Rattus norvegicus: one gene and its partner. The protein of the gene in region 2 purifies or fractionates together with the protein of the main gene of each other region. This does not show direct contact. Links are inferred from orthologs where the notes say so. Each region holds a gene or a part of one and is shown on either strand. Other genes may lie near its edges.

Region 1 (15,220 bases), on a different chromosome or scaffold from region 2:
ATGGCTTGCTCAGCCTGCTTTCTTATAGGACCCAGGACGTGAGCAAGTCAGTGGGCACAGTGGGTAGTTGGTCACCATCTTAGGGTTACTTTTGCTGTGGTGAAACACCTAGATGGAAAAAGTGGTGGTGGTGGTGGTGGAGGAGGAGGAGGAGGAGGAGGAGGAGGAGGAGGAGGAGGAGGAGGAGGAGGAGGAGGAGGAGGAGTCCTAGAGGATCCAGAGACCATGGGTGAGGGGGAATAGATTCTTGACTGGCAGCATCCCGAAGTGGCCCAGCCATCTCATGGAGACAAGCGATGGCCCCACCAGTCCTTTTATAAAAGCCACCAGGATTCAGTCAAGGGCACCACCCTGATGACTTTTCCTAATCTAAATCCCCCTTCCAAAGCCCTGACTGATTGACAGACAGACTAAAGTCCTGTCTTCCCAGTGGGCACTGACACATAATTAGACATAGTGGAACATACCTGCCATCCCAGAGTGTGTATGTGTGCATGTATGCATGCATGTATGTGTGCATGTGTGTGTATGTGTGCATGCCTGTGTGTATGTGTGTGTATGTGTGCATGCCTGTGTGCATGTATGTGTGCATGCCTGTGTGTATGTGTGCATGCCTGTGTGTATGTGTGTGCATGTATGTGTGCATGCCTCTGTGTGTGTGTGTGTGTGTGTGTGTGTGTGTGTGTGTGTGTGTACATGTGTGCATGGTAAAGGGAACTTTACTTTGTTGTGAGGACAGCCTGGATTATCCAGGTTAGAAGTGAGACTCTTTCTCCAAAACAGAAGCCCAGCATGTAGAGCCCGGGGGTTTACAAACCACATTCAAGGCAAAGCTGGAGCTCATGGGAACACTTGGCTGTGGCTGGCCTGAGAGCACTGATGGCCACAGCCAGTGGACAGCAACCCATCACTAACAAAACCACCGAGCGCCGCCTAGTCCAGACCTGGAGGTATAAGGACCCATCAGCAGAGAGCAGAAAACCAGATCTCTCCCTTGGCCAGAGCGCTAATAGTAAAAGCTGAGGCTCAGAACACGTGGTTTGTCACTCATTGCCACTGGATTGAGGTACTGTGTGAGGTCAGGAGGGAGATGCTACTTCACAAGCTGAGTGCCTTCGTTCCTGGAGCAAACCTTTTGTGATGCTGGCAAGTCTGGGGCCAACACCTCTGAGATGACCCGCTGGGATCTCCTGAGCCCAAAGTGTTTGAGAGACAGTTCTGCAGGGCAAGAGAGTGAAGAGACTGTGCCTGTTCGCTCTCTGAAAGGTGAGTGGGTGTTACATGCTCACCCCTCCCCCAGCCAAGAAGCCTACAGTAACCTTGGTGTCTGTACCAGATGCTAATAGGGCTGTGTGGCCACCGCAGTCAGGTCTGATTCTGAGCAGGCCCAAGGAAGCTGGTATGAGGTGGAGGAGGGAGGGTTCCTCCATGATCCCATGCAGCCAAGCAGAATGTCTGAGGAGCTTGCAAAGGAGACATGGAGGGCAAATCAAGGCTGCAACCTCTAAGGGCATTAGCGTATAGGGTATCTAAGAATCCAAGACTGCCGTCCTGGCCTGGGTGGACTGAACTGGGGCCGGGAGGGGGATGGGTTTAGGTGCTGCTGTCTAACCTCAAAAGTGTCAGAGAAACCAGACAGCCACCAGTCTGACAGCCTGATCTTACCTGGATCCAAAGATCTCCCAAACCTGCTTTTCTGCCTTTCTTTCCTGGGACATGTCCCCACCTCTGGTTGAAGCTGTTCCCAGTCTGCCCAGCAGGGGGAAGCAGAACCTCAAATTATCACAGAACAGACAAAACAGTGTTGTGTACTGGGGAGTTTGGGCAGCTGGAATTATGGAAGTCACAGCCCCACGTGAGACCAGTGACAACACAGCCACTAGGACTAAGAGGGTGACAGGGCATGGATGAGAAAGGGCTGCAGCATTCCACAGTCCTTCCCCTGGCCACCGTGTCTAGGTTTGTGAGGCACCGAGACACTTGAGGGGTCCATGATGCTGCACCGTATTCTCCAGTATCGGATAAGCTCACAGTGTGCATGAAGGACAATTGGGGCCTGGAGGGGGGAGAGGTAGTAGACTGCCCCTCCCCCCAGGTCTGATAGGAGCCCACCGTGGAGAAGAGTAGCAGGGGTAACCTTGTCATTGGACAAGCTGAGCCACGGTCACAGGGACACTGAATGAGGCCAAGGGCCTCACCCGGACCTGGGCTGTACGCAGCCTGAGTCTCAGTCCTCCAGTTCACAGTTGAGATTGGCAATGACGCAGGCTAATGGCTTAGCAATGAGCAGAAGTGGGTTGGGACTGGAGTCCAGGACTATTCACCCAGAGCCCACCCTTTCCCCAGAACCCATCACATCCCAAGCCGGACAATTTGGCTCTCTTGAGAAAAATCTATCTAGTCTTATAGTTCTTCCTGCCGTGAGGGAAAGGCTCAGCATCCATGGCTGGCTTACAGGGATTCAGCCAAGCAGGTAAGGCGCTCAGACTCCCGACTCCTGGGCAGCCCCACCTCTACTCCCACCAGGGCACTGGAGGTCACAGAGAGGCAGATGAGAATAGCTACAACCTCGGCTTCACAGGCTGAACCACACTGACAATCTCAGCTGCTTCCAACTCCCACTGAGAACTCAGGGTGAAATCTTACAAACGGTCTGAATGGGTGTGTGCTCACACCGCCTCTGGAACTTCTGACCTTAGCAAAACTACAGCTTTTAGGGAACAGAGTTATCTAGCTGGGGGTGTGAGGATGTTTACAGAAGGCACCCATCTGCAAAACTGCCATCCTAAGAAGTGTCAGGGTGTGCCCTTAGATGCTAAAGACTGATGGATTCCAAACCCATAGGGAGGAGAATAGGAGTCAAGGTGCTGCCCACATCGCTCCTCAGGGAACTCCAGAGCCACAAGATTCTGGAAAGTTCTTTGGCACTTTCCTGCTCCCTGCAGCCCTACCTCATCCTGACCTATACCTTACAGGGGTCTGGCATCTCGGCAGACTTGTCATGGGTCTGGTTCTTTTTTTTTTTTTTTTGGTTCTTTTTTTTTTTTCGGAGCTGGGGACCGAACCCAGGGCCTTGCACTTCCTAGGTAAGCACTCTACCACTGAGCTAAATCCCCAGCCCATGGGTCTGGTTCTTATGAGCTGGCTTTCTGGGGCTCCCTGCCACCTAGGGCTACAAGGAAGCCTGGCCTGTCTTTACCTCCTGGGCTGACTGCTAGGTTGTGTGGTCCTCTGATTGTGCAGCGAACTTGATTGTGCACTTAGCAACATTTCTGCCTGTCCTTACACCTCTGATGTCTTTGCTCATTGGGCAAAAGCTACAAGGTTGTCCAATTTGCTTAAGAGCATATTCAGGGGGCTGGGGATTTAGCTCAGTAGTAGAGCGCTTACCTAGGAAGCGCAAGGCCCTGGGTTCGGTCCCCAGCTCCGAAAAGAAGAACCAAAAAAAAAAAAAAAAAAAAAAAAAAAAAAGAGCATATTCAGTAGCGATTCAATGTCTCCAGTGGAAGTTCATAGGGTCACAGTCCTGTCTTCACTCCCTGGAGGACTATTAGGTGTAACATAGGGTCACAGTGCCCTCCTCACCCACCTTTCCCAGGATGCCCTTCTTGCAAGTGAGCACAGGGTTCCCATTGTGGACTGGCCCAAGGGATAGTATAGTGTGCAAGGGGTGGGTCTAGTGTGCAAGGGGCGGGTCTAGTGTGCAAGGGGCGGGTCTAGTGTGCAAGCCCAAACTGACTGAGGCTTCTTTAGGTCCTCACTTTCTCCTCAGAATCCCAAGCCTTCTCTAATACTCTCCAGCCCTTGAGAGCTGCCATGTGTTAGCTGCTACAAAGGGACTGCTTACCCTGGTCTCTCCTGGAGGACCGCCATCTTCCCACCACCTCTTGTCACACAGAGCACTGCACTGAGCCTCCCCTGCCCCAGGATAGGCTCAGTGTCAGAGCTGGTGCCTCACTTGGCCTAGGCAAATCAACCAGGCTCATTGCTAGAGCTTGCCCAGTGCCAAAATGGGAAAAACTTTGTGAGCTGTGAAAATTAGAGGTAAAATATACCCCAGGGCTGGCCAATCCTAGCTCATGTCACCGAGGGAACTCCGTGACCTTTTCTGTTCTCCCACTCAAGCTTTCCTTTGTTCCCGTGTGGCACCCTGGTGACACGTGATAACTCAGTATGAAGAGCAGCCTCTCTCCCCCCTTTATCCTCAAACTGAACCTGGATGGGATGCAGGGAGGCAGTGGGTACCTGCCTTGTCCATGGCTGGAGTTAGGCCCAGTGTAGGTCTACCCCGCTATCTCAAAACCACATACATATGCAACATGGCCAAGGGTAGCTCTCATATGGCCTCTTTCTTTTCCTTATTCTGGGGTGTGTTCTCTCTCTCACCCACCTCACTTTCTATACAGTTCCGAGGTGGAGAGAAGACGACTGGCTGTACCCCAGGCCCCTCAGCCTGTGCCCTAGGCTTTATCTGCGCGTGTTAGGAGACTGGCAGAGGAGCCTTTAGCTCTCTCCTTGGCTACAGCACGTGCAGGCGATGCTGACTCACTGGTGTCAGGGATTCCTAGACAGACTGACCGCCAGTTACATACAGGCAGCTTCTCTGGTCATGGAGATGGAGAAGACCCAGGCTACTTGCAGGCTAGAGCCCTGGGATGCCGCTCAGCCTGTGTTCACAGCCCTGGAAACCAGGGGATGCTGGGAAAATTCTGGAGCCAAGGGCCAGAGGGCCTAGGACTCTTGTGTCAGTGCACGCGATGGGGTAGAGGTCCAGCTCCTGAGAGGTCACCTTTCTGTTCTACCAGAGCCACTGGATGACTAAATGGTGCCATCTTATGGGGGATGGTTATTCCCCCTGATCTGTCACCAGATCTCAGGCTAGTTTCTGTGTGATCCATCTAGTGTTCTCGTACTCAGGCAAGAGAATATTTAAAATTAAGCCCCTCTCTGAAAGGCAGAGACAGGAAGTCACATTCTCCAACAGGGAGTGCTGAGACGCAAGTGTGCTGCCAGCCACATGGGGGCGCTCACGAGGGAGCTCTGAGGCTCAGACTAGGAGCGCTCGCCCACCCACACCAGCATAGCTTCTGAGAACCACGGAGTGTTCTATCCATGACTGGAGCTTGCAGACAGCAGGTATTGTCTCTGTTCTTCTTTTTAAATATCGGTTACTTTCTATTCCATCCATTATTACAGATTTCCATTCACTCCGCGTTCACTGGGGCTTTGGAATCTCCGAAGCAATGAGATAACATGTTACCTAGTGTGCTGAGAATAAGCAGGTCACTGTGTCTTTGGCATGACTGGCTTCTTTGTGGTCCGCTACAATGTGTTTTTTGAGACTCTCCTGAGACCTCTGAGCTGCCAGCAGGTACCAGAGAGGCCAAAGGCAGGGGGAGGGAGGGGCTTAGTAGGCCAGCAGTCACCCTCTCGCAACCATTATTGCTGTTCCATCCATTCTACAGCGGTGCAAACCCTTCCAACACGGTAGTCGGGGAGGCTGTGTGGCTCAGCAAACAGTTCCTTTTCTAGCCCCTGACAATTACACACGAGGTTAGTTACCCATCTGCTTCCCAAACTCCTGAGGCCCACATCCCGCCTCGAGGCAAGGGGCCCCACCTAGGAGCAGCACGGCTCATGATCAGAGAGAGGTGTCTGTCCTATGCGGGGTGGAACCTGGGAGCAGGCAGGCAGTTCAGCACTGAGCTGAAATCCGGTCTCCTGGGTTTCTTGTTCTGAGCTAGTGGGCATGTGTATTTGAACTACTTGTAGGTGTCCTGGTTCCAGGAGAACTCTCCCACTCAAGGGTAACAAGGGGCCTTCTGGGGCAAGCCAATGATCTTCGAGGCCCATGCCTTTCTGGGCCTCACTGAAATACCAGAAGAGAAACCACCCATGGCTACCCCTTCTCAAAGCTCAACTCAGCAGCTGGCTCTAATTCCCAGAGGGGCCACCTGAATACCTATCCCAGGAGGGCCGCAACCCTCCTCCCAGCTCCCAGGCTAGACCTAGGGATAGAATGCCTTTTAGAAATGTAGTTTAGAGTCTCTTCAGATACTCCAAGGCCTCAGGACATCGCTGAGTTACAAGTTACTGCCATTGTCTCTCAGACAGCCACAGAGCCACATTTTTGGTGTCTCACATAATGAAACCAATGCAGTGTGGTTTGAGAAGGTTCGGGCATCTCCTGGCCAGTCCCTTCACTGTCTTATCATGGTCCAAACAGCAAGACAACCAGCCGGTCTTTATCTCCCTGGATATATAGCCAGTCTCATGAAGGTGTGGTCAAAGACGAGTACAAGGCCAGGATGAGTGGCAGAGCCCCGGACGGCTGCTGAGTAGGACCATGCATTTTAAATACTTACGTGTAAGAGATTTGGTACCTAGAGCGTGTGGGCCACGTGTTCAGGGCCCAGGTCCAGGGCAAGTTAAGCCAGTGCATGGCAGGGGCTGGCCAGGTATCTGGCACAGCCCAACCGCCCCACACTGCAAATGGTTGTCACTAATGCATCAGACCCGGGGGGCATAGCATCAGGGATGTGTTTTAAGGGAGCGATGAGAAACGTCAGGGCGGACAGAAGTGAGACCTCGACTCCAGCCCTCTGCCTGGTCCCACACCTCGTAGAGCGACGGAGAGAGAGACACAGTTGGGCATTATCTATAAAGTATCTTCTCTTTATTTAAGTTAAACAATTTCAAGGATGGTTTCCATCTATAAAATGGACAAAGCACAAGCTCTGTACAGCAGTTCTTTTTTTTTTTTTTTTAAAAATCAACTGGAAAAAAAAATTACCAAACTATATTTTGAATTTGCAAAACATACTCACAGACACCGTCATTTTCAGCTTCACGGAGACTCGAGGACCACCAGAGAGGACAGCCACCATTTTGCCTGTGCGTGCCCAGGGCTCCTGGGAGTTTTTAAGTTTTTTAAAAACAGGAGTGGGAGTGTGGGAGAGCCCAGATTGACTACAAAACGATACAAGCTCAGCGAGTCGCTTTGGCACACTGTCATGTAAACATGGCTCACCCGAGGGCCTTGCCCAGACCCCCTCTGCTCGGAGCTGGGTTGAGTTGGCACCCTGGTGGCCAGACAATCAGATGGTACAAAGGTGACGAGGCCACAGGGTGGGGCGGGGTACACGTGTGGTTGGGACAGCCCATGTTGTCTCACATCTGTGGTGTCACTGACAGAAGCAGTGCAGAGGTGTCAGGGTTAGCAGCGGACATCGTGCTTGGACTGGACTCCAGCACTCTCCTGCCTCGCCCCGGGCAGCTCTGCCCCCATCCCTGTGAGTGACAGTCCTCAGAGTCTACCCAGGAAGGTGGACATGTATGGACTTAATTAGACACGTGGGCACCCTGTCTGTTACAACGTATCTCTTGTTGTTGCTTGGCAGGGGTGAAAAGACAGAGGGTCAGCACCTGGCCAGGTCTTCCCAGAGGGTCCGTGGTCATGGTGTGCACACACATGGAGCTCCACAAATAGAAGAAACCAGCCTCGCCCACCCCCCTTTGGGTCAGGTGGGAGACAGAGCACTCACCTGCAGGCCCTCTGACCACCTGAAGCTCTGGTCCCCGAGATCTCTGGGACACCTGAGGTGAGCATGGGTGATGCTTTGTGGCCCCACAGGGTGTCACTTCCCCTGCACCCTCTGTGGCTGACACATGCCTAGGTCCTTCGTGTGAGTGAGCAGACCTTGTGGTCCGAACTCTACCCACAATTCCTGCCATAGCCTGTGGACATACCGGGGGGGGGGTGTTGCCCACACCAGGGCTACAGACACATGGGGTCCACCCACACAGGCTGAAGGGCTGCTCTTCTGTGCTCTGCCGGATGCTTGGTTAGTACCAAAGACCCAACATACAGGGTCTCAAACCACTGAGCCTAGGGATAGCATGTGACAGCTGTCCCGAGGGCCCCTGGTCTGTCACGGGGCAGTAGGGTCCTGCTGGCTCACATTAGTTAGAAGCTGTGGGGTTGAGTTTCCCTAAAGAAAAGAAATCTAACGTCAAAAGAAAACCCAAAGCAATACTTGCCAAAAGAGGTGACCTATCTAGGTTTATGGTTGACAATGGGCACAAAGTGGACTTTCTAACCCAGCTGCGAACCCCTTAAACGTTGGTGCTTGTGGGCAGGGCTGACGGTTTGGGGACACCCCCGACTGGAAGAGCAGCGTGGGCAGGCTGGTGAGGCTCCAGAGGCAGAGACGTGGCACCCGCACCTTCACTCTGGAAGCCCAGGCCCCTCCGTGTGGCCGGGCTGCGCTGTGGGGTTCACATGATGATGTAGGGAAAGCGTAGGGAACGGACCGTGATTCTCTGTATACGCATCTCTATTTAGTGTCCCGCCATAGAAAGTTCACGTTCAAATACAGCAAAGTATGTCAACAGAAGAGGGGACGTGGCCCCAGGGGGGGCCAGCTGAGCCCAGGGGCAGGGACAGGGAAAGACAAGCAAATCTGCAGGGAAAGGTCAGCTTTGTGGAAATCATTTTTTTTTTTTCCTCCTTAGACAGGGTCTTGCCTGCCTCAGCCTCCTGAGTGATGGAGTCACAGGCACTGGCCACCATGCCTGGTTCACACACATGATTTTGAACAGGTTAAAAACAAAACAAAACGAAGTGGAGATTGGCGAGTTCTCGCCGTGAGGGCGCTTGCCCCTGCTCCCTCTGTCCTCGATATAAACGTGATTGCTGCTTATCCACTTGCTCCGGCCAGCACCGGGGCTGTCCTCTGAGGGGTGTGAGCAGGAAGCAGAAAGCAGGAGGCAGAGGGTGCCAGCCTTGGGAGGGACCCTCTGTCCTGAGCCCCCGGGGCTCACTGCCTTCCATACAGCTGTCAGCCCAGCTCACACCTCGCTGAGGACTCGAGACTTAAGACTTTCAGACCATGGTGGGACACTGAGGTATATAGTTTTGCGGAAAGTTTCAGAAACATAATTATGTGATCACCAAACCGGGCCAGTGTGTGCGGGTGGACGGTGGGCCCCAGGGGCCTCTTATTGCTGCAGGTTGAGTGAGAATTTCCACTGCTGTGACAGGGCCGGGCCGCACACCTCCACACTCAGGCCTCCGCTCTTGGCAGTGCGGCTGTCCAGGCACAGGTTGCTCCCCACGTGTCGCAGTTTGGAGTTGCCTTCGATCTGCTCCCACTTCTGTAACACAGAGCACAGCAGCGGGAGGAGTTTAAGGGCAGCCCAGGGTCTGCAGGCTTCTCTTGGGCACACACCTGCCATTTCCGCCTTCTTTCTCTCTCTGCTCCTGAGTCCCCACTGCCCCCCGTGCCGCAGGCCCCACCTGCCACTCTTGGAGAGCATGCTACACCACGATGCTCCTACCAATGCTAGCACGCTCGACCGACCAACCCACCAAGTCCACCGACCAACCCACCAAGTCCACCAACCCACTGCCATGCACAAAGGCCTAACAGCATCAGGACGTCTGAGGCGCCCTGACCCTGTTGTAACATAAACACCTTGAACATTTACACTTTCAGTTTTTAAAGTCACACAGGCTTTCCTTTTTATCCCCACAGCTTCTCTTTCATTACCAAGGTCTGTGGCGCTAATTAATACTTTATACGTGCAGTAAGGTTCCTTGGAGTATTTCTGAAAATCCCTCTGACGTGGTGGTCTTAAGAGCTCCTCACTCTTGCCTCCTCTCCCCCTCTGACCGTGCAAATACTCGCACGGCTCTCTCAGCCCTTGGGCTCATCAGATGCCAACTGTGGAAGTCAGGGGCGGTCACCCTGAGAGGGGCTCTGCCACCTGCACTGCCTCCCTCCCTCCCTGTCCCCCTGCTGTCAGTTTGCTGGTTTCCCTTCATTGTCATGGAAAGCATGCCTAGAGCCTGACAGAGCCTGTGGAGAGAACACAGAGTCTGGCTCCTGGGGGGAGGGGCTGTCATGTGTTGAAGCATCCACTAGACAGTGGGTGCTGAGAGAACAATGAAGTCACAGCTGTCCCTCGAAGGTGCTCCTCAGCGCTGGCATCGGCCTGATGGGACGCCGCAGTGTGGCGGGTTTACTGGCGCAGCGCTCCCACATCCCCACAGGTGGAGGCTCAGGGCTGTACTCATCACCCAGGACCAAGCAGCCTTCCCTGTCTTAGAATCAGTTAAGGGCCCCACAGAGAACACTGGGGCAGTGTCTCTATCACCTTTTCCTTCTTAAAAGGCTAACAGACCAGATAAAGTCTCACTTTACCACTGACTTACGGCCCAAAGGCCTGGCTGTGTTCTAGGTAGGTCCAGGGGACAGTGGCCTTCCCTGGATCAACATTTCCAATCTTTTTCTATAGGATCTGACTCAAACTATACAACTACACAGACAGAGATGACTGTATAGAGGGCGAACACAGGGTGGGCTGGGAGTGGGGACATAGCACTCAGGTACTCTGACACCTAGGATCCAAACAGGAACTGGATGCTGGCTGTGGCCCTGTACCACCAGCTGGTGGTGGTGGGTGGGGAACCTAGGCCTTTGCTTCCCTTTGTGCAATCAGGTGGATGGAAGGACGCTGAGCTGTAGCTCTGGTGGCCCTCGTGCCTCAGTTTCCCTCTACATTTGTCTTCTGGGGAGGGACTGTGGGAAGACTAGCTACATTCCCCCATGGTGGGTTAGAAGGGACTGTTAATGTCTGCATTGTGATTGTCACCGCAGGGCTCAGAAAGGTGGTTTGCCCAAGATTCCCCAAGGAATAAGCCAGACAGAACCAGCTTCCAAGGCTTGCGATAAGCTCTGGTCCATGGAAGAAGCAGAGAGGATCCTAACTCTCACCAAGGTGAAGACGATCTCACTGTGAGCTCAGAGTAAGACACGTGCACACCCTGCTATGGAGCCAGGCACCGCAGGCTGCTCCCCTTTATGGCCAGGGACTGACAGGGAGCTGAGGAGATTACTGTGGCCCTGAACCTCAGGAAAACGTCACCCTACATAACTGCTAGCCATGGAGAAAATGTAGTCAAAGCTCAAAGTCCACTTTCAGTAGGACGTGGCTACCCTGCAGTAAGTCTCTGTCCACCCAGGCTCATCTCCTTAACCATTTAGATCGGAACTTTTCTAAAGTTCTGCAGGGGAAACAGGCGTTTATCACCAGGATTTTGTCCAAGGAATCACATAATTTCAAATAAAACCCTCTGTGGCGCGAGGGAGGAAATGAGACAGGGACCATGGGACATGGTCATCCAAAGGATGAACGGCAGCCACTGGACTGCAGGTGTGAGATGGATAAGCACCCGGTCCTTGTCACTGTCAGCGCCGGGAAAGCCTGGGACCCGGGACCCACCTGTCTGCTGTCGTTCTCCCGGCAGCCCTGCAACCTGATGAGTGATCCTGGTGAACGGTCCACCACAGTAAGGCACAGGTCCATGTGCTTCACCGACTTCTCCTTAGTCAAGGCCCATTCCTGGGAGAGACCACAAGTCAGAAGCACACCTCAAGTCAGGCTACGGCCATGTGGGGAACTTTACCCAGGACGCCAGGGGTAGGTAACTTGGAGCCAGCTGGATACTCCCAGCTAAGGGACAAAGCTACACGTGGCTGCTGAGCTGGCCTTGGTAGCTGTGATGTTTTGGTGGGAAATGCGTTTGCACATGTGGCCCCAGCTGGCAGGTCTGTTCTGAGAGGCTGTGGAAATGCACACTCCTGCTGCCTCTCTGGCTGGCCAGTCTAGTTATGATGGGCTGGCTGATCTCTCAATCCAGGAGCCAAAATAAACGCACCCTCAAGTATTTCTGTCAAGTATTTGGTTAGAGAGGCAAGAAAAGTTGTTAATACAGTGACCTAAATGAGCTGTATCAAGAGTGACTGGCACACTGCGACAGCTAACTGTGTTAAGCATTTTAGCTCAAAGTGCAAGTTAGAGATCCGGTCAGCATCACTCTAACCCACAAGTCCTCCCACACACTCTGCTTTGGAAACAGATTTATGAGCGTAGGTGGAATCTGAGAAAACTCCATACATGATACATTGTAGCTTTCAGCGAATGTCTACATGGCTGAAGTCTGTGGGAACCTGCTGCTGGTACTCGCAAAGCCCTGACTGCAGGAAGCGTCTACACATCCATGCACGGTATGGCTCCTAATTGGGTGCTCGCCATGTGCTCAACTGTCTCAAGCCTTTGCACAGGAACTGCATGAGGGGTGTATGTGTGTGTGTGTGTGTGTGTGTGTGTGTGTGTGTGTGTGTGTTCGTGGTGGGGGGCAGAGAAGTGGGGAGAGAGAGGATTGGAGGGTAGACGTATAGAGACTGGGGCAAACGAGATGGGGCAGACAGGTTGGAGGCAGCATTGTCCGGTCAGTCTTTCCTTGCCCTCTCTATCCCTGCCCTGGAACGGGACTGCTCCTCTCTACCGCTGCACATTTACAGGAAGCTACTCACAGAAGAGCCTACACTGTGAGTCACAGGGCTGGGCCCTTCTGAAGACGGCCTCGCTTTCTGTCAACTGTCTCCTTGTAGATTGTGGACATAAGGTGGCCGCTTCCTCCTCGTACTCCCATGCCGTGCTGTCCCCGTGGGACGTCAGAAGGGTCCTTCTCTCTTAAGCGGTTCTGTCACCACAGTGAAGGGTGGGTAGCTTATATATAGTCTGTCTGCTCTATCCAGTGTGCTTCCTTCCAGATGTGCCGGGGTGTGGAGATGCAACTCAGTGTCCCTGGTACACTGCAGCTCTAGGACGTGGAAGTCCAGGACCCTCCCTGACCCAATGTGTGGGCAACAGCTGGAGACACGCTTGAGTTAGAGGAGTCATGGGGACCCCTGGGCACTGAGGTGCTAGCCTGTCTTCATGTGACAAGTGTGGGAAGATGCTGGCCGGGAAGGGGACGTGTGGAGACTGTGTACCTCATTATTTTAAGATGAGTAATACACTGAACTCCAAATCTGATTTGGCTGTGCATGCGGCAGAGCCAGCCACCTTGTGCTGGTCCTTCAGCAACCTGAATTTGTCAAACATCTAAGAAATGCTTTTAGGAGCCGCCGTCCCTAAGAAGGTGTGGCCATCAGTCATTCTTCCATTTCCTCTGTGCTGCTGAGGCTAGGCTGGGAACCAGATAACAGCGTCCCATCCACACTGCCCGTACCGTGCCACCTAAAGTCCCCATCCTTGTGTCTCCTGACCCACAAAGCTTCACTCTGTTAATTCAGAGGGGACTCGGTCCCGGGAGGGACACCGGCTGGTGTCACCTTTGCCTCTGGGTCCCCTCCAAGCACTGGAGTGCCAGTCACACATGGCAGCCCCAATTTAAATTCAGCAGAGTTAAGTAAAACCAACTTAATCCAAGTAGGCACACCTTAAGAGCTCATGTGCACAGGTGCCTGCCAGCCATAGTCCTACAACATTTCTAGCACTGAGGAAGGGGGTCCTGGACCCCAGCTGCCTGTGGGGCGAGGTATCCCAGGCTGAGTGGAAAATTGTGTCAACCACCAAGCAGGCCCTGATCCTTGACCTGAGAAGACTGAAGCTGAGCACAAGCTAAGCAAGGACCTGTTAGGGACAAATGTGGGTACAGACGCAGGTCCAGTACATGGCAGTGGGTTCAGCAGGGACGACAGACAGAGCTGGTGGGAAGTCGTAGCCTAAACAACAGGTGCTAATGCCACCTCGGTATTTCCCTCACCGGCACAGCACAGCCCACAGCGGATGAGCCGCTCGAGGCGGCATTCGATACCTGTAACATCCAGCTGGCTCCGAGGCTGCTGGTGGGGCCGGGGTGTTCGCCTACCTGAGGACTCTGGGTCTGCAGGCCAGCATGCTCCCCACCTACCTGGTTTCCCCCAGCGTTGTGACACTCATAAATCCCAACAACTCCATCCGCAAAGTGTCCCAAGGTGTCCAGGCAGTTGGTTCCCTGCTGTAAGGCTCCAAAAGCTATGTCCTGGTGGTCTGGAACCCTGAAAGGCATTCGTTGTAAGAGCCAAGGCCACCTCCCCAGCCCTGTGCTTCCTGTTCACCATGGCCTCTGCACATGGCCTAGACAACAGAGACAAGACGGCAGCTTTGCATCACCCAGACATGATGGTGGCCCCAACTTCTGGATTCCTAACTCTTTAAGAGGGTTAAGTGGGCCAGGCAACGCCTACAATCCCGGCATTTAGAAGGCTGAGGGGGGATTTCTGTGAGAGTTTGAGGCCGGCTTGGGCTACAGAGTGAACCCGTCTCACCATCTCCAAGCAACACATGGCAAACAGGAGATGTTTCCTAATGTTCTGATAAGGGAGAGTGACTACCAAGTCGGGCTGCTGGCTGTCCCTTAGGAAGACACTCACAGGGTCACATCTGGCCCTTCGTATTTCTCACAGACAAGACCTTGACCGGTAGGGCTCAGCCTGTGGGATTGGGTACGTGGTCCAGTGTACACAAATGGATGGAATGTATGGGGACCTGTGTGTTTAGGAAGGAGTCTGGCCTCACCCTTGAGAGGCACTGGCTGTGGTCTCCTGATTAAGGGCCATGCTCTAACTAACCCTTGACTGTTCTCCTTTGTGGAAATGGTGAAATGGGCGGGTCCTTCAGGACAAGAACGACTTGGTGGCATCTGCGGCCAGAAGCCCACTGGTTTTCTAGTGGAGTCCCTGGTGCCCTCAGGACACAGCTCCTGCCACTTACAGGGAAGAGCGGTGTGGAGGCAGGGCTCTGCAGAGGCTGTCTGTCCCTCACTCCCCGGTAGGAGCTGGGACACCATCACTGTTAATGCTACTCTACACTAAGAGGGCCGGAGCAGCTGATGGGAGTTGTGGGAGAGGAGTGTGCTCATGGGGAGACAGCCTCTGCCTCACTAGTCCACCTCACTAGTCACTAGAAGGGGACAAACCAAGTCGGGGGTGCTTTGGGATTCTCCCTTCAGTGTTTCTCTCACAGAGAACAAGGGTAACTGCAAAAGAGGGGGTGCCTGTGGGGCGGGGACCATGTGCTCTCCCTGGCAGCCAGGCTCACAGCAAGCACGAGGCCTCTGCAGCCTCCTTGTTCACCTTTATTCCTCAGAGGTCACAAGTGCACCCAGGCCCCAGGACTTACCTCAGCTCAGGGTAGACGTTGTCTAGGTACCACTTGAAGGGCTTGCAGCCCAGCTTTTTCCTGAGCTCCAGTCTGCTCTGAATACTAGAAGAAAGAAAGATACAGTCATTTTGGAACGCTGGGAGAATAAGGTGGCCTACATGGTATGGCACGTGCTGGCCAGTCTCGGGTGCCCATGACCTGCTGACCTCCCACTAGGACATGC
Region 2 (15,303 bases):
GGTTTCTATTGCCTAGCCTTCAATTTGTTTGCTTTTGCCTCATAAGGAAGTGGTTAACAGGAGATGGTCACAATGGCAGTTACAGGACAAGGTGTGAGGAACCAGGACAGGTGGAGAATGGAAAATGTCAAGAGTGACTAAGCGGGGACTCAGAGGAGCAGCCGAGTAGTTGGCATACAGCTCAGTGCAGTGCTTGTCTTGCATACCCAAAGTGCTAGGCTCAATCCCGAGCACTGCAGAAACTGGACACGGTGCCCATGTCTATGATCTAGGCCCTGGGAGGTACAGGCAGGAGGATCAGAAGTTCAAAGTCATCCTCAGCTACCTGTGGAGTTAGAGGCAGCCTGGGGTACATGAGATACTGTTTCAAAAAACAAAATATCAGCAAGGCATGATGGTGCAAGCCTTTAATCTCAGCATTGTGGAGGCAGAGGCAAGAAGAACTCGGAGTTCTAGATCAGCAAGTTATAGGTTAGCCAGGGTTACCCAGTGAGACCAAATTTAGAAATAAAAAGTTGCTGAGGCAACAACTACAACCATGCATTACTCGTGCATATATTATGATAGTGCTGGGAATGGAACCCTGTGTCTTGTACGCAGTAAGCAAACATTCTACCACTAAGATACCCCCCTTCCCTGTCTACTCTGTAAGTATAAACCACCTATGCTTGTTCCTTCATTTAATATCAAACATCTGTGGCAACCATACTACAGGGGCCTGGGACATCTGGCTTTCATGAATGATGTTACTATGTACATTCGTATACAAGTAAATGTTGGAGGGTTTTTTTTTTTAATTCTTTGGGGATACATAACTAGATTGCTATGTCACATAAGTAGCTATTCTGATTGCTTAAGGAAGCCATGAACTTTCTCCTAGCAGCTGTGCCATGTTACATTCCTACTTGAGGGCACTGGTGTAGGGCTGACCTTCATTCACATTGCATTAAGGTGTGTCTCCATATATTCCATTGTTTATTGCTGAGGGCAGTGAGCTAAACGCCAACAGATTCTGGTGTTGTAATCACTATAACCCATTACCAGCCTCCTGCTTTGTAAATTCTAAAAAAATAAGAATAAAAGCAGGGGGTTGGGGATTTAGCTCAGTGGTAGAATGCTTGCCTAGCAAGCACAAGGCCCTGAGTTCAGTCCTCAGCTCCAGGAAAAAAAAAAAAAAAAAAAAGGAATAAAAGCAGGGTTACACTGTCCTCTACCCCTCGACTGTTTAAGAGTTGTATCAGATGCAGCTCACTGCTGATTGGTTGTTATAAAGGGCTGACAGCCCTGCTGAATGGACCTAGGGGGTGAAGAGAGAAAAGGGAGTCAGGGAAGGGGAAAAAAAGGGGGTCTTTTCACTAGAAGACTTAGGAAGAGAGGTATGCAATGTGCCTGGGCCTGAAAGCAGACTGGATAGGTGGCCAGCTTAACTCAGACGAGCTAGCTGAGAGTCTTCACAGCAAAGGAAACTGAAATTTCTGAAATATTAAAAGATCTCATATCATTATTCCTGCTTGTCAGGTCACCAGGCTCACCCTTCATAATCTTATCAAGATTTATTTCCTAATTTTTCTTAAATAGTATTTCACTGATTTTGATTTATATTTCCCCTAATACTAATGATATATACTATCTTTTTGTGTACTTGTGGGGTAGCTACCCTGCTGTTGTTCAAAGACTATCCTTCCCCCAGTGAGCTCTCCTGAACCCTCATCAAACCGAGTTAATAACAAATGACCGAGTGTGTTTTTAAACTCTCAGTTCTGTTCTGTTCATCTCCATGCCCTTATTGTCCTGCTAACTGAAGGACTGTAGTAGTTGGAAAGTTGAGGCTGGGGAGATAACTTAGCAGCTGAGAATACTTACTGGGTTTCCACTTTTAGTTCTAACTCATAATTTAACACTTAAAGCACTTAAGTAATAGCCCACATTCGTGTAAACTACTGGTGCAGGAATTAATACTAAAGAATAACAGTAAGGGGGCTGGAGAGATGGCTCAGTGGTTAAGAGCACTGACTGCTCTTCCCGAGGTCCTGAGTTCAAATCCCAGCAACCACATGGTGGCTCACAGCCATCTGTAATGAGATCTGATGCCCTCTTCTGGTGTGTCTGGAGACAGCTACAGTGTACTCATATAATAAATAAATAAAATATTTTAAAAAATTTTAAAAAAAAGAATAACAGTAAGGGTTCAGGTATGCTGACTCATGTAATCCCAGAATTCAGGAGGCTTAGGAAGGACGATCATGAGGCCAGAATGAGCAGTCTATTGAGAATCAGTGTCAACAAACAGACAAACAGCAGACAGACAGGGCCTGAAGAGATGGTTGAGCAGGTAAGCACTTATTGCTTTGCTAGAAACCCAACATGGATGCAGTTGTCAGCATCCATGTGGAAGCTCACAACAGTCTGTTACTCCAGTCCCAGGGGATCTGACGCCTCCAGAGCAACAGACATGCACACAGTACACAGACATACATGCAGGCAAAACACCCACACATATAACAGTTAGTGGATAACGCAAGATGGAGACGGCTCAGGGGGGTGCGTGCTTTACAAGCAGGAAGACTGGGTTTCACCCCTCAGAACCCATGTTAAAAAGCAGGGAATATTTGAATTCCCACTGCTGGAGAGGATTGATAGGTGGATGCTGGTGTCTGAGAAATGACATACATGGTTGTCCTCTGGCATGCATACACACACACACACACACACACACACACACACACACACACACACACGTAAGCATTTGTTTGTACACAAGCAGGAACAAAAGAACTCTTTTTTTTTTCCCTATCAATTTGACAGATTAAGAATTCTCAGAGCAGGGGTTGGGGATTTAGCTCAGTGATAGAGTGCTTGCCTAGGAAGCGCAAGGCCCTGGGTTCGGTTCCCAGCTCCAAAAAAAAGAACCAAAAAAAAAAAAAAAAAAAAAAAAAAAAAAGAATTCTCAGAGCAGAGGGAAATGGAGGGAAAAAAGAAACTACTAAGACAATTTGTGCTTGAAGAATGCCATAATGCTACCTAATTCTTTGTATGCTAATACAAATGTGGAAAAGAAAATAGTACTTGGTGCTAGCATTCACCATAGTCCCTGCTACTCAGGGAGCGGAGGCTGGAGTACCCGTTGGGTCCAGAGTTTGAGAGAAGTGTGAGCAGCATGGTGAGATGAGAGGAACGTCAGGGAAGGAAGAGAACGGGAGAAAAAAGGAAAGAAAAGCTCCCTGTTATCAGGAGTTTGATAAAAATAACATGGCCCCGAGCAGATTGCTCAATCTCTTTTGAGTATCTGTGTCATCTCAGAAGCATGTGATATAACCGCTGCCTGATAATAAAGTCGCTAGCAGTGAGAAGGTGAGAAGAATCTGGATGCCCAGGATTCAGAAAACTGTCACAATTACGACAGACATGCACGTTACTTCTTTACTGAAATGATCGCCAGTCATATTTTAACCAGTGCTCCTACATTTGTGCTGCACACTCACATTTCCATCCGGGCATCCCTCCTCTTGGCTATCACAATCGCCCTAAGTAAAGATAAACCAAAGTAATTAACAAGTGGCCAGAAGCAAACTCATGTCCTATCTGCCAGTCCATCCCCCTGGCCCTCCACCTCAGTGAGAAAGCACCCCCTGCCTCCCTCCCCATCTTTCCTGTCCAATCTATCTTGGAAGCACGTTAGTCCCCTCTCCACTCTGAGCACTTTCCGTCATTCTCCCTGGACCTGTCCACTTCTTGAGATATTGCAACAATCTCCTAAATGATTAACACCCGGGTCCTTTCCCTACTACTCAAGTCAGTTCTTTCTGAAACAACCAGAGTAATGCCCAAACACCCTCCAATCTGATTAAACCTCTTCAATGGTTTCTTTTATTGTTTATAGATAAAATACAAACACCCGGGGTTCTGGGTGATCAGAACTTCTCTCCTCCCCTGCCTGGTAATGTGGACACCAGGTCAGGTTTAATTATTTGCCACTGCCCTCTCCGCCCACCCACACCCACACTATGCCAATATCCTTAAATGTTAGTCAAACATTTGTCTTAAAACAAGCAGACAGAATTTTCTTTTAAAAGCAGATTCATTTACCAGTTCACTTCCTCTAGCCAAGGCAAAGTCAACATTCTAAAGGAGGCTTTTTATTTTATTTTATTTTAAGCTCTGGAGACTGAACTAAGTACCTCTCAGATATCAGGCAAGCAGCACTCTACCCCCCACCCCCAGCTATAGTCCAGTTCCTGAAATAATCTGATAGACTTCTCACATCTCTTGTGATTTTTACTCTCTCCTCAGCAATGTAAGAGGAGAGGAAGAAGGGGTGGGGAGAGGCCGTGAAGACCACAGTATGGAGATTTTTATTCAAGTGACAGGAAAAGCACTTCTTTCTGAAACTATGTGTGCCATGTACTATTTCTTGAAACTTGAAAGCTTTCGGTCACAGGACTGCGTATTACACTCAGGGGTCTCGCAGAGCGTCACCCTCCCTGTGGCTGTAGTCCTCTCTGGCTCACTCCAAGCAGCTGACATACATTTTCTATCACATGAGACTTTCTGTTCTGGGTCACTCCCGCGTCACTTAGTTCTTGGTGTGGCTTTGTTCCACCTTCTCCTGCCATTCTCCCTCTCCCCCAAGAAGCCTGCTCTTTAGGCTCACACCCAGCTGCATGTGCTGGCCACTCGCTCAGCCAGAAACCCTAACCCTTCTCTCCTCCCACTTTTCTCCCAGGGATCTCTACAATCCTCGGTTCCTCGGCTCATCACTCAACTGATACACACTTTTCATATTTTTCTTGGCAATTCTTGGGATACAATTCTATTAGTTGTTTGCCTTAATGTCATTGAAAGCCACCTGACAAAAATAAATAAATAAAGGTTGGCGTTGGCTTACAGTTCCAGGGAATACATAGTACATCGTGGTAAGGAAATCATGGCAGCAAGAGCAGGAGGGAGCTGCTCACACTGACTCCATCATCAGGAAGCAGAGAGGCATGAATGTCCTATATTTTTTTTTTTTTTTTGGTTCTTTTTTTTCGGAGCTGGGGACCGAACCCAGGGCCTTGCGCTTCCTAGGTAAGCGCTCTACCACTGAGCTAAATCCCCAGCCCGAATGTCCTATATTTGCTCAGCTTGCTTCCCAGTTTATTCTGTCCAGGACCCGAGCCCATGAAACACTACTGTCCCCCTACAGAGTGGGCCTTCCCACCTGAATTAACCGAACCCAGATAATGCCTTAGAGGCACATCCAGGGACTTCTCTCCATTATGACTTTACATCTCATCAAAGGGAGGATCAAAGTTAACTATGACAAATCAAAAAGCAAACATGGACAAATGTCTATCTGATATTTCTCCACCTCACCAGATTGCAGCTTTATCAGATTAAAGTCTTCTTTATTCAGGTATGTTTGAGACTAAGTCTGACTTTGTTCTTCAGACTGACCTCCAAATTCTGGTTGCTCAAAAGATCCTTTGCCTCTGAAGGCAGAGAGATTGCTCATAGGTCAAGAGCCCTGCCTGCTCTTCTCACCCAGGTGCAGTTTCCAGAAGCTGGCTCAGAACCATCTCTAACTCCAGCTCTCGTGGCCTCTCTGGCTTCCTTTGGCCCCAGACAGGCACATAATATAGATGCATAAACGGAGGTAAAACATCCACACACATAAAGTAACAACACTTCTTATTCAAAAGATCCTCTACCTTAAACCTCCAGAGTATTGAGGACCATGGAACCTGGCACAGTGGTACACAACTGTAATCTCAGCATTTCCAAGGCAGAGGCAGGAAGACTGACGCCAAGTCAAAGTCTGCTGTCCCTTGGAGTGAGTTCCGGGCCTGTTATTGCTGCAGAATGAGAGCCTATCTCAAAAATGACAAAAAAAAAAAAAAAAAAAAAAAAGAATGTAGTTGTTGGAACTGTTTATTAAACAACTGTTTATGAAAATGTTCACGAATGACTTTAAGCAAATTGTTTAAACTATCCAGCACTGCCACAGATGAAGACACAAGGAACGAATGCAAATAGCAATCCGCAGAAGAGCAGACAGCAAGACTTTTTTTTTTTTTTTTTTTTTTTTTGGTTCTTTTTTTCGGAGCTGGGGACCGAACCCAGGGCCTTGCGCTTCCTAGGTAAGCGCTCTACCACTGAGCTAAATCCCCAGCCCGACTTTTTAAAAGTATATGTATGTTTTACTTACATGCATGTCTGTACACCACATGTGTACAATGACTGTGGGGTCAAAAGAGGATGTCAGATCTCCTGAAACTGGAATCATAGACTGTCATTAGGTATCTTGTGAGTTTAGGGACTGGAACTTGGGTCCTCTTGGAGGAGTAGTCAGTGTTCTTAACCACTGAACCATCTCTCTAGACCCTAAAGATGTCTTTTATGGTTGTTGTTCAATACAGGGTGTCTCTGTGTAACCCTGGCTGTCCTGGAACTCACTCTGTAGATCAGGCTGACCTCAAATTCAGACATCTGCCTGCCTCTGCCTCCTGAGTGCTGGGATTAATGGTGTGTCCCACCATCACCTGGCTCTCTTTTAAAAAAAAAAAAAAAGGTATAGTTATTTTAAAATTCTGCTTTTAAATGTGTTGCTTGAGCCAGGTGTGGTGGTGCATGTCTTTAATCCCAGCACTCAGTGGGCAGAGACAGGTGGATCTCCGGGAGTGCAAGGATAGCATGGAATACAGGGTGAGTTCTAGGACAGCAGAGGTGTTAAACATAAGAACCCTGTCCCAAAAAGAACACACACACACACACACACACACACACACACACACACACATTGTTGTGTTGAGCGAGGCAGAGTGCTTGTCTAGTGTGCACAGAGTCACAATTTTGATCTCAAGTACTACATAAATTGGAGATACAAGCCAGTAATCCAGTAGGAAGATCAGAAATTCAAGGTCTTCTTGTTTGGGCAACAAAGCACCTCATGTCCTGAACTGGAGAGATGGCTCAGGACTTGCTGCTCTCCCACAGGAGCAGAGTTCAGTTTCCAACACCACATAGATTGTTCGAAACGCCTGAAGCTCTACGGGATCCGATGTCCTCATCTAGCTCCAAAAGCACCTGCACACAGGTGGCGGGCACACGTACACAAATAAAAATCAATCTTTGATATCTGATTTCTTAAATAAATAAATAGCTCAATAGGGGCGTGGCGAGGCGCCTATAATCCCAAACACTCAGGAGGCAGGGGCTGCCCACATAACAATATAGTTTCAAACACATAGAAATTCAGGGGAGAGAAAAAAAAAAAAAAAACGTTGGTAAATACAGAGGGCCCTGGGTACCGCCAAGAAAAGGGATTGGGATCAGGATGAAATGTATTTGTTTCTAGATGGGAAAGAGCTGAACAGAGTACATTTTTGTGTTAAGTGAGAAAAGCACTACCAGCAACGGTGAGGTTAGAAACATGAACAGAGGATGCGACAAAGAGGCTCCCGGCCCCGACCCCACATCATAAGCAGCGAGAGGCGACGCAGCACCTGCCTGTCGGACAGTTTCTGAAGTACGAGGCCAAGGGAACAAGAAAGAGACTGCCGAGCTCCCCAGACTGCTGAAATAGAGAGGGGAGCTGGGGGGCAGGCCGGGGCGGGGCGGGGGGGGGAGCTGGACTTGATTTCCGGCACACTATCGGAATATACAGTCACTGACTGGCGACACCCAGTAACCCCACCCCCAAGGCGGGGTTGCGCCGGAAGAGAAACAGTCCGCCGGAAAGGGGGGGGGCACGCTCTGGAAATACCTTGCGCCCCTCTCACGTCAGTAGAGGGCGGAAGCGCAGACTACAGGATGCAGTTCCTGGTTGCGTTGCTCCTGCTGAGTGTCGCGGTGGCGAGTAAGGATACCCCCCCAAGCCCTTGTCATTCTCTCCCTTAGGTTCCCCATTCTTCACCTTGGTGGGTCGCCACGGGAGCTGTCGTCTTTCTCGCCTGACCCGACCCTCCTCTAGCAATCTCCACTGCTCTTCCATTCGGCCATCACCGCTAGGGTCTTAGAAGTCAAGCCCTTCTTTTCTCCCGGCCTTTTTTTTTTTTTTTTTTTTTTTTTTTTTTTTTTTTTTTTAACGTGGACTTACTGCTTTTTCTGTTTCAGGAGCTCTGCCATCCGCTTCTAAGCCAAACAACACATCAAGTGAAAATAATCCTCCGATTCAACCTTCCACGCCCCTGCCTCCTGGGGTTGATATTTCTCAACAGGTAAAGACTAACAGACCGACTGATCAGAGGCTGGAGTCGGATAAAGAAGGCCAGGACAAGACGGTGGCTAGGACTTCGGCATCAGTTTCCAGTGGGGTGGAATCTGCGACCAATCTCAATTTGGATGATTCCAAAAAGCACCCCGAAACAGCAGATGCCAAATTGAAGGAAACTTTGCAGCAGCTTTTGCCTGTGGACCCCAAACAGGAAAAGTCAGGTCAGAAGTTTACAAAAGATTCAGGCAGCCCCACAGGAGGTGATTCCGACAATACCACAGGAGGTGATTCTAACAAGACCACAGGAGTTGATTCTGACAAGACATCAGGAGGTGATTCTAACAAGCCCACAGGAAGTGATAATGACAAGCCCACAGGAGGTGATTCTAACAAGCCCACCTCCAAAGTCCCCTCCAATACAGAGACTCCAAAAATTGACAAAGTCCAGCTAACTGAAAAAGGACAGAAACCAACACTTATTTCCAAAACTGAATCTGGGGAAAAACTGGCAGGGGACTCTGACTTCTCTTTAAAGCCAGAGAAAGGAGATAAGTCTTCAGAGCCTACTGAAGATGTGGAAACCAAGGAGATTGAAGAGGGTGATACAGAGCCCGAAGAAGGTTCACCACTTGAAGAAGAGAATGAAAAGGTGTTGGGCCCTTCCTCCAGTGAGAACCAAGAGGGGACACTTACAGATTCTATGAAGGATGAGAAGGATGACCATTATAAGGACAATTCTGGAAACACCAGTGCAGAAAGCAGCCACTTCTTTGCTTATCTGGTGACCGCTGCTGTTCTTGTTGCTGTCCTCTATATTGCTTACCACAACAAACGAAAGGTAAGAGGGGACTGGAATGTCCAGAACCCTGAGTTCTTTGTACATGGGCAGCTATCTGTCACTCATCTGCCTGTGAGCTCAGAGGATTTTAAGATCATCTTCGGTTTTTCCTTAGACCTTGCTAGGACTCTGGGTTTTGTTTTGTAAATCATGTGACCCGTTTCCTCAGAGTTCTGCTGTAAAGTGCCAAGTTGGACGTGAATCTTGACCTGACCTAATTGTGATTCCCCTCCTGTAACTTGGAACTCAGATTATTCACAGCCTCTGTGAACCCAAGTTCTTGACAGGTAGATTTCTTCCCCTTTTCCATGCTTGAGATAGTTTACCATTTCTAGCTTTTATTCCAACTGTCTTCCATCTGGAGGCAGGAAGAATATTTTCAGTTACATAGTCTCTAACACCAGTAGTATAAAGCCCAAGAATGACTCTTCTGCTACCAAGAGTCAGAAGCAAGCCTAGAGATTGCATAAATGCACCCAACTTTGGGGTTAAAGTGCCACCCATGAAACAACCTTACAAACAACTCTAATGACAAAATTATTGTATTTCTTAATGAGCCATGAGATTTAGAAGACAGTTTCAGTAGCTTGACTTATTGAAGAATTCAGTTGGTGATAGCCATTGGGCATATGGCTCTAAAGAATGAAGAGTCTACATTCTTCGTTGTACATTTAAACGTTCATGATGAAAGCAGTAAATTAGAGAAAAGTTGAAACTGTGTGGGAGCAAAGCATGTGTTTGTAGCTAGGAAACCGTCATTATTTTTCCCCCTTAAACACCTGACCTAGAACTCTCTGGCAAGAGAACTGGCAGACCTCTAACTCCCATAATTAAATCATACAGATTTCCACAGGCTTCAGCCTCCATCTCTTGGGCCCTATTAAGCAGTATAAAGGATTTTGTTGTAACCAAGCCCCCTTTAAAATCTTGGGTGTGTGTGTGTAATTTAAATAGTCCTCTTTGTGGATCTAGGTAACTGCTTCTGATTTCAGGAAGTGAAGTCCCTCATTACAGAGTCAAATGTTAATCTGTTTTCTTTGTCCTTCCCTCAGATTATTGCTTTTGCCCTGGAAGGAAAAAGATCCAAAGTCACTCGGAGGCCAAAGGCCAGTGACTACCAACGTTTGAACCTAAAGGTAAGGAAGGAGAAACCCAATGTAGGAGGGATATGCAGCCTCCAGTGGGCCAGTTCTGGGGTTGCCGCAGCCATTGCTCCTAGCCCTTGGAGACTGCAAGTAGGACCGTCCGCACACTGCATGTGTATCTATCTACAAAGGTAGAGATAGAGAGGGCTTTCAGTCCTTTCACATTTGACAGATAAACAGATCTACCTGGAAGTGTGATTTTGTTTGTTTGTTTTCTTTCTGAGTTTCCACTCAGAGGAAATACTAGCACCTGATAGTAACTCTGTATACTTTTAAACACTTTCTTCACTATTTCAGCTCTTGACAGACAAATACTGTGATAAACACTGAACAATGTGATCAAAGCCAAATCTGATTTACTGAGTATGGGAGAGAACCTATCCATCCTCATTTTGTGGGGATCCCCACTGGCTGCCAGACCACACTTTGGGCAACAAAGCCCTGGATCACAACTCCCCCACAGCAGACGAGCACATAGGCTGCAAGCAAGCCCGCTGCAGGCTGGTCCTCCTGATGTGGCTAGTGTGCCTCAGCAGCCTTCGGGACAGCAGGCTTTCCCATCCGACAGTAAGGGAGAGGGTCTGAAGAAGGTGCTCCCCACAGGTGACTGTAGTCATCATAGGTGCCTCAGGCCCCCTGCTCTGTTCTGTTCAGCAACAGTGACAAAAGACAGTTGATGACTGAGATGGGAATGGTTCCCAGATGACCTACAGGAAACAGTTCACAGCAGTACAGAATAGCCCACCCAGCTCAGGACGTGTGTCACGCTAGGCCAACCTCACAGTCAGCTCTAGCGCTACAACTTTCCTTGATAAATGATTTTGATTTCTTTTCCCTCCTTAGTTTTGTTTTAATGGGAAGAAAGCAATACACGTGAAAAAATTTCAGAATAATATAGGAGAGTATAAAGTAGAAGCCAGTAGTTCAATCTGCCCACCATCAAATGTAGTGTACCATATGTGTGCCTGGTGCCAGTAGAAGCCGAAAGAGATAGTTGGATCCCCAGAACTGACGCTAAGGACAGTTGTGAACCACTGTGTAGGTGCTGGGAGACAAACGCTACTCCTTTTCAAGAGCAGCATGTGTTCTTAAGTGCTTACCGTCTCTCCAGCTTACTTTTTTTTTTTAAAGTCACCTAGGTTGTTCATAGGAGCATGGGCCTCATAGCAGTGGCTACCCTGCTGAAGAAAATACCTCTTACACGCCTATCAACAATTACTTAATTTTGAGACAATCTCTCACTGTAGCTTAAGACTCGTGATATAATCTTTGCTGGCCTAAAAGTCATCATCTTTCTGCCTCAGCCTGAGTACTGAAATTATAGGTATAAGCCACCATATTAGCTAAATGTATGACTCTCAGGTATATATTTTCTTTTTTTTTAAAGATTTATTTATTATATATGTATATACTGTAGCTATCTTCAGACACAGCAGAAGAGGGCATCAGATCTCATTACAGATGCTTATGAGTCACCATGTGGTTGCTGGGATTTGAACTCAGGACCTCTGGAAGAGCAGTCAGTGCTCTTAACCACTGTGCCATCTCTCCAGCCCCCATATTTTATTTCTAATTTACTTTAAAACTTACTAAAGTGACTTATGCACTTTAACTTTTATTATTTATTATTAGCTGTTTCATAATGATGGATGAGTTTGTCTGACTAACATATTTCCCTGAAAAAGCTGAGTATTAACCAGCAAATGTGTTGTTCTCATTTCAGCTTTGATTTTGATTTTGTCTGCAAGAACCTTGTCCTCCCTGCTGATTTGTTTCCGAATCAAGAGAAATGAAAAGACTGACCTGTGGGGTTTGGTGGCAAGTCTGGGCTGGCAGAGATGGGATTGCTTCAGGTTTTGCACCTGCACTTTGATGACATTGTCCTCTGGTGGTGTTTTATTTACTTTTGTGTTCCCTTTATGTGATGTGTCCATCTTCCTTCCATTCTTGGAGTACAAGCAGAGGGAGTGTGTGGAAACATGGCTGTGACCAAAGGAAGACCCCACCTTCCTTAGGCAGGCCACACTATGGACCACCCTCCCATAACCCCTTTATCTTTGCAACTCTAGGAGCAAACTACAGAGGTGCTTTCTAGACAAGATGTAGAAGATGATTCTGTGGGATGCTGATGGGCAGAGACAGGGTTGAAATCTTCTCCACAGAGGCCTCAGCTGCAGACCAGACTAGCAAGTTAAAGAGTGTCAAGGTCCAGTCCGTCTGACAGTCTGTATATCTCTCTGAAATTTGCACTCGAGTTGTGCTAGCACAAAAGGGACTCACTGCTTCTGAAAGTAAAATCACTGTGCCATGGGATTTTTTTTTTTTAAATATGGTGATGATTATTGAACTGAACCAGTGTGTTCTTGCATACAGTCACCCCAATAGGAACTTCCTGGAAAGAAGCAGGTTTATGCCTTGTGGAAGAAAACACATAGGGCTTTGGTATACAGGAAAGAGTTTCTCACAGTCAGTTTTGCTTTCATGGTCTGCAGTAGGTAAGATAGACATTTAGAAACTCCGTGCGTTCTCCACATTCCTCCACACTGTTTAAGATGCCAGGGAATGAGTAATATCTTTCCTATCCTGTCATAGCTACTCATGAAATTGTAAGAAACCAAGTAGGTTCCCTGAGATAACCAAAAATGTCTTGGATTATGCTGTGTCTAAAGTTTTATTCCAGTCTATATGGTTACACCTAAAGAGAGAAAACTCTTAACTAATCTCAGGGATATAAAAGGAAGAAAAATCTGAGTCCTGTGCAGTTGGAGAAGTTGAAGAAGACCTGGTCTTGGAGCTCTTTCTCCATGCTGACTGTAGCATGTGCCTGAAGTTTGTATGCTTGGCAGGTGGCATTCTAGAAATGAGGTCATTGTCTTCCCGACTGTGCATAAGTCTGCTGTTACTTTTTCCTAGCTGAGAAGCCGTTTTCAGTCTCCCTCAGCTTTCCGTAACTCTTCTTCAGTTCCCCACCTCTTCCATTCTCTCTTCCTCTTTAGCCCTGTTTGTACACCTCTGATGAAAACCTTTCCTTCTAGCCTACGTGCATGCCATCCCTACCCCGTTCCAGTTGGTGTTGCTTCTATTCCCTTCCCTCTCTCCCTGACATTTGCAGGTTTGCCTTGGTCTGTTTTCCTCCTGTTTCTCAAGGTTACTCAGTTAACAGATCACCAAATAAAACAGCCCATTTTCACAGCTTATAACACTTGGTAATGATAGATGCTGGGGTCTGTGCATGTTGACATTCTAGGTGTCTCTTGCAAACTGTCCTTTGCCTTATCTTATGGCGTTGGGGGAGGGTGCCCAGGTCTCTCTTGCTTTGACTGTCGCATCCATTCTTTATCCTTTCTGTGACTCTCACATTTTCTTTGGTCTCCTTCCCAAGAACCCAGTTCTGCTATATGCTAAATAACTCAGCCACATTGTCTGGTTGTCATTCAACCAGAGTTTCCCTCTTGTACCTATTAAGTTCCTCTATCCTTCGGGTTTTTTAATTATCTGAAAACTCTACACTATAAACTAATTACAGTGGTCATCACAGAAGTCCTATTTGTTTTTTCTTTTTTTAAGAAATTATATATCTAGGTATATTCTCCATTAATTTTCAGGAACCAGGTGAATTGACCTTACCAGTTTTGGAAACCTTGATTATTCCAGAACACTCCCTGGTCTGAAGCTCCTGTCTGATGCTATATTCTAGACTACAGGGTCCCTCATGTCTTCATGGTCTGGCACTCCATCTCTGCCTCTGCCCTCCTCGTCTCCTTTGTATTCCAGCTTCTCCAGGTTGCTCTGCGGTGAGCATTCCCTTTCCTTCACCTTAGCAGGTCCTTTGGTTCCGGATGTGCAGTGTTCCTTCTTAGAGTCAACACACTTGCTTGGCTTCCATTCCTCACTGTCACTGTCTCTTACTGTCACTCTCATCTTGGAACTTCAGTGTGACATAGTTCTGATGTTCTATGATCTCCCCCAAGAAAACCAAGCTCTGAGACACAGCCATTGGCATCGTTTATCAGCCAGGGACCTTAGGGGTCAAATTTCTTGTTGGAGGTGTAGCTGAACTGGGGCTCGCATAGCTCTTCCTGGCTACTGCTTGCTATGACCTTATACTTGTTGATTTTTTTGCTTTTGAAGAGCAGGAAGGAAGGTTGATTTTTAGTAACAAAGTGAGTGGACAGACACATGAAGGATTGCCAGAGGCTACAGAGCCTCGCCCTCTTGGGCTGCTGACCGATGTTTCTTGTGTGACAGAGTACAGTTGAATTTGTTTTCACTTGGAAAGTTGCATTGAAGGAGATGGCTCCCACCAAAGAAAAGTTATTTTTAGGATTTTTTTGTTTTGTGTTAGTTTTTTGAAGGTAGAATACTTACTTGAAGCATATCTCCTAGAGTGTGTGTGGATGATTATGGTCCAGCTGAGGTGTCTATACCAAGGACGGGGCTGGCATGTGAGAAGTACATGAAGCCTTAACTAGGACTCCTGTAGACTTTTCTGAGCTTGCTCTCCTGCTCAGTGTCTGGCTAAAGGCAATTTCCTAAGAGGAGCCTGCCTGAGGCACAACTGTTAACCGTTTGCTCTCTATGGATTATAGACACCAGGTCTGGACAACAGCTAAGAAACGTGCTAACGTATTTTCCCCTAGAAACAGCTCTGTGCCCTTCAGAATTCCCCATACTGATGCTCTTTCTTTTTCTTCGGGGAGTGGTGTGCTTTGCACATATCCTGAGCCATTCGAAGGCAGAGAAGGGTGTGCCAGGCCCTGTGCCCTGTGAGACAGTTTGGTATTGCCTTAAGAAAGCTGTAAAGAGTCAGCACTCAGGAGGCAGAGGCAGAAGGATCTCTGTGAGTATGAGGCCAGCTTAGTCTAGAATTCAGGTAGCCAGAGTTACATAGTGATAGCTTGTCTCAAAAACAAAGACAAAGGAAAGCTGTAAGGAGATGTTGAAATTAACTCCATCATGATGGCTCAGTTCCTTTAGTTCCCTGCTCAGATGTGACTAAGTAGTTTATCTTGAAACTGTAGTGTGGACCTCAGTTTGCACAGCAGAGCAAACTACCCATGAAGCTGGCCTCCTCCCACTCTTAGGAATTTAATTTAGACTACCATGTTAAGGAAATGAGTAAATGT

The links.
Region 1: the proteins of Tgoln2 (region 2) and Galnt2 purify together in Homo sapiens (affinity purification with mass spectrometry; 3 studies listed by BioGRID and IntAct, counting the BioPlex papers as one, with this or other methods). This does not show direct contact. The link is inferred for Rattus norvegicus from reciprocal best matches to the Homo sapiens genes TGOLN2 and GALNT2.

What each region holds. Positions count from the first base shown.
Region 1 is NC_086037.1:69,213,672-69,228,891, reverse strand, and holds the end of Galnt2 (polypeptide N-acetylgalactosaminyltransferase 2 precursor), read right to left. Parts: intron 15,100-15,220; coding exon 15,016-15,099; intron 13,893-15,015; coding exon 13,766-13,892; intron 11,407-13,765; coding exon 11,287-11,406; intron 9,157-11,286; coding exon 9,001-9,156; 3' UTR 6,655-9,000; downstream 1-6,654. UniProt on the Homo sapiens protein: Catalyzes the initial reaction in O-linked oligosaccharide biosynthesis, the transfer of an N-acetyl-D-galactosamine residue to a serine or threonine residue on the protein receptor.
Region 2 is NC_086022.1:106,221,738-106,237,040, reverse strand, and holds the start of Tgoln2 (trans-Golgi network integral membrane protein TGN38 precursor), read left to right. Parts: upstream 1-7,778; 5' UTR 7,779-7,791; coding exon 7,792-7,837; intron 7,838-8,094; coding exon 8,095-9,032; intron 9,033-10,084; coding exon 10,085-10,168; coding exon of another isoform or gene 10,169-10,312; exon of another isoform or gene 10,313-11,877; coding exon of another isoform or gene 11,878-11,900; coding exon 11,901-11,906; coding exon of another isoform or gene 11,907-11,970; 3' UTR 11,971-15,303. UniProt on the Homo sapiens protein: May be involved in regulating membrane traffic to and from trans-Golgi network.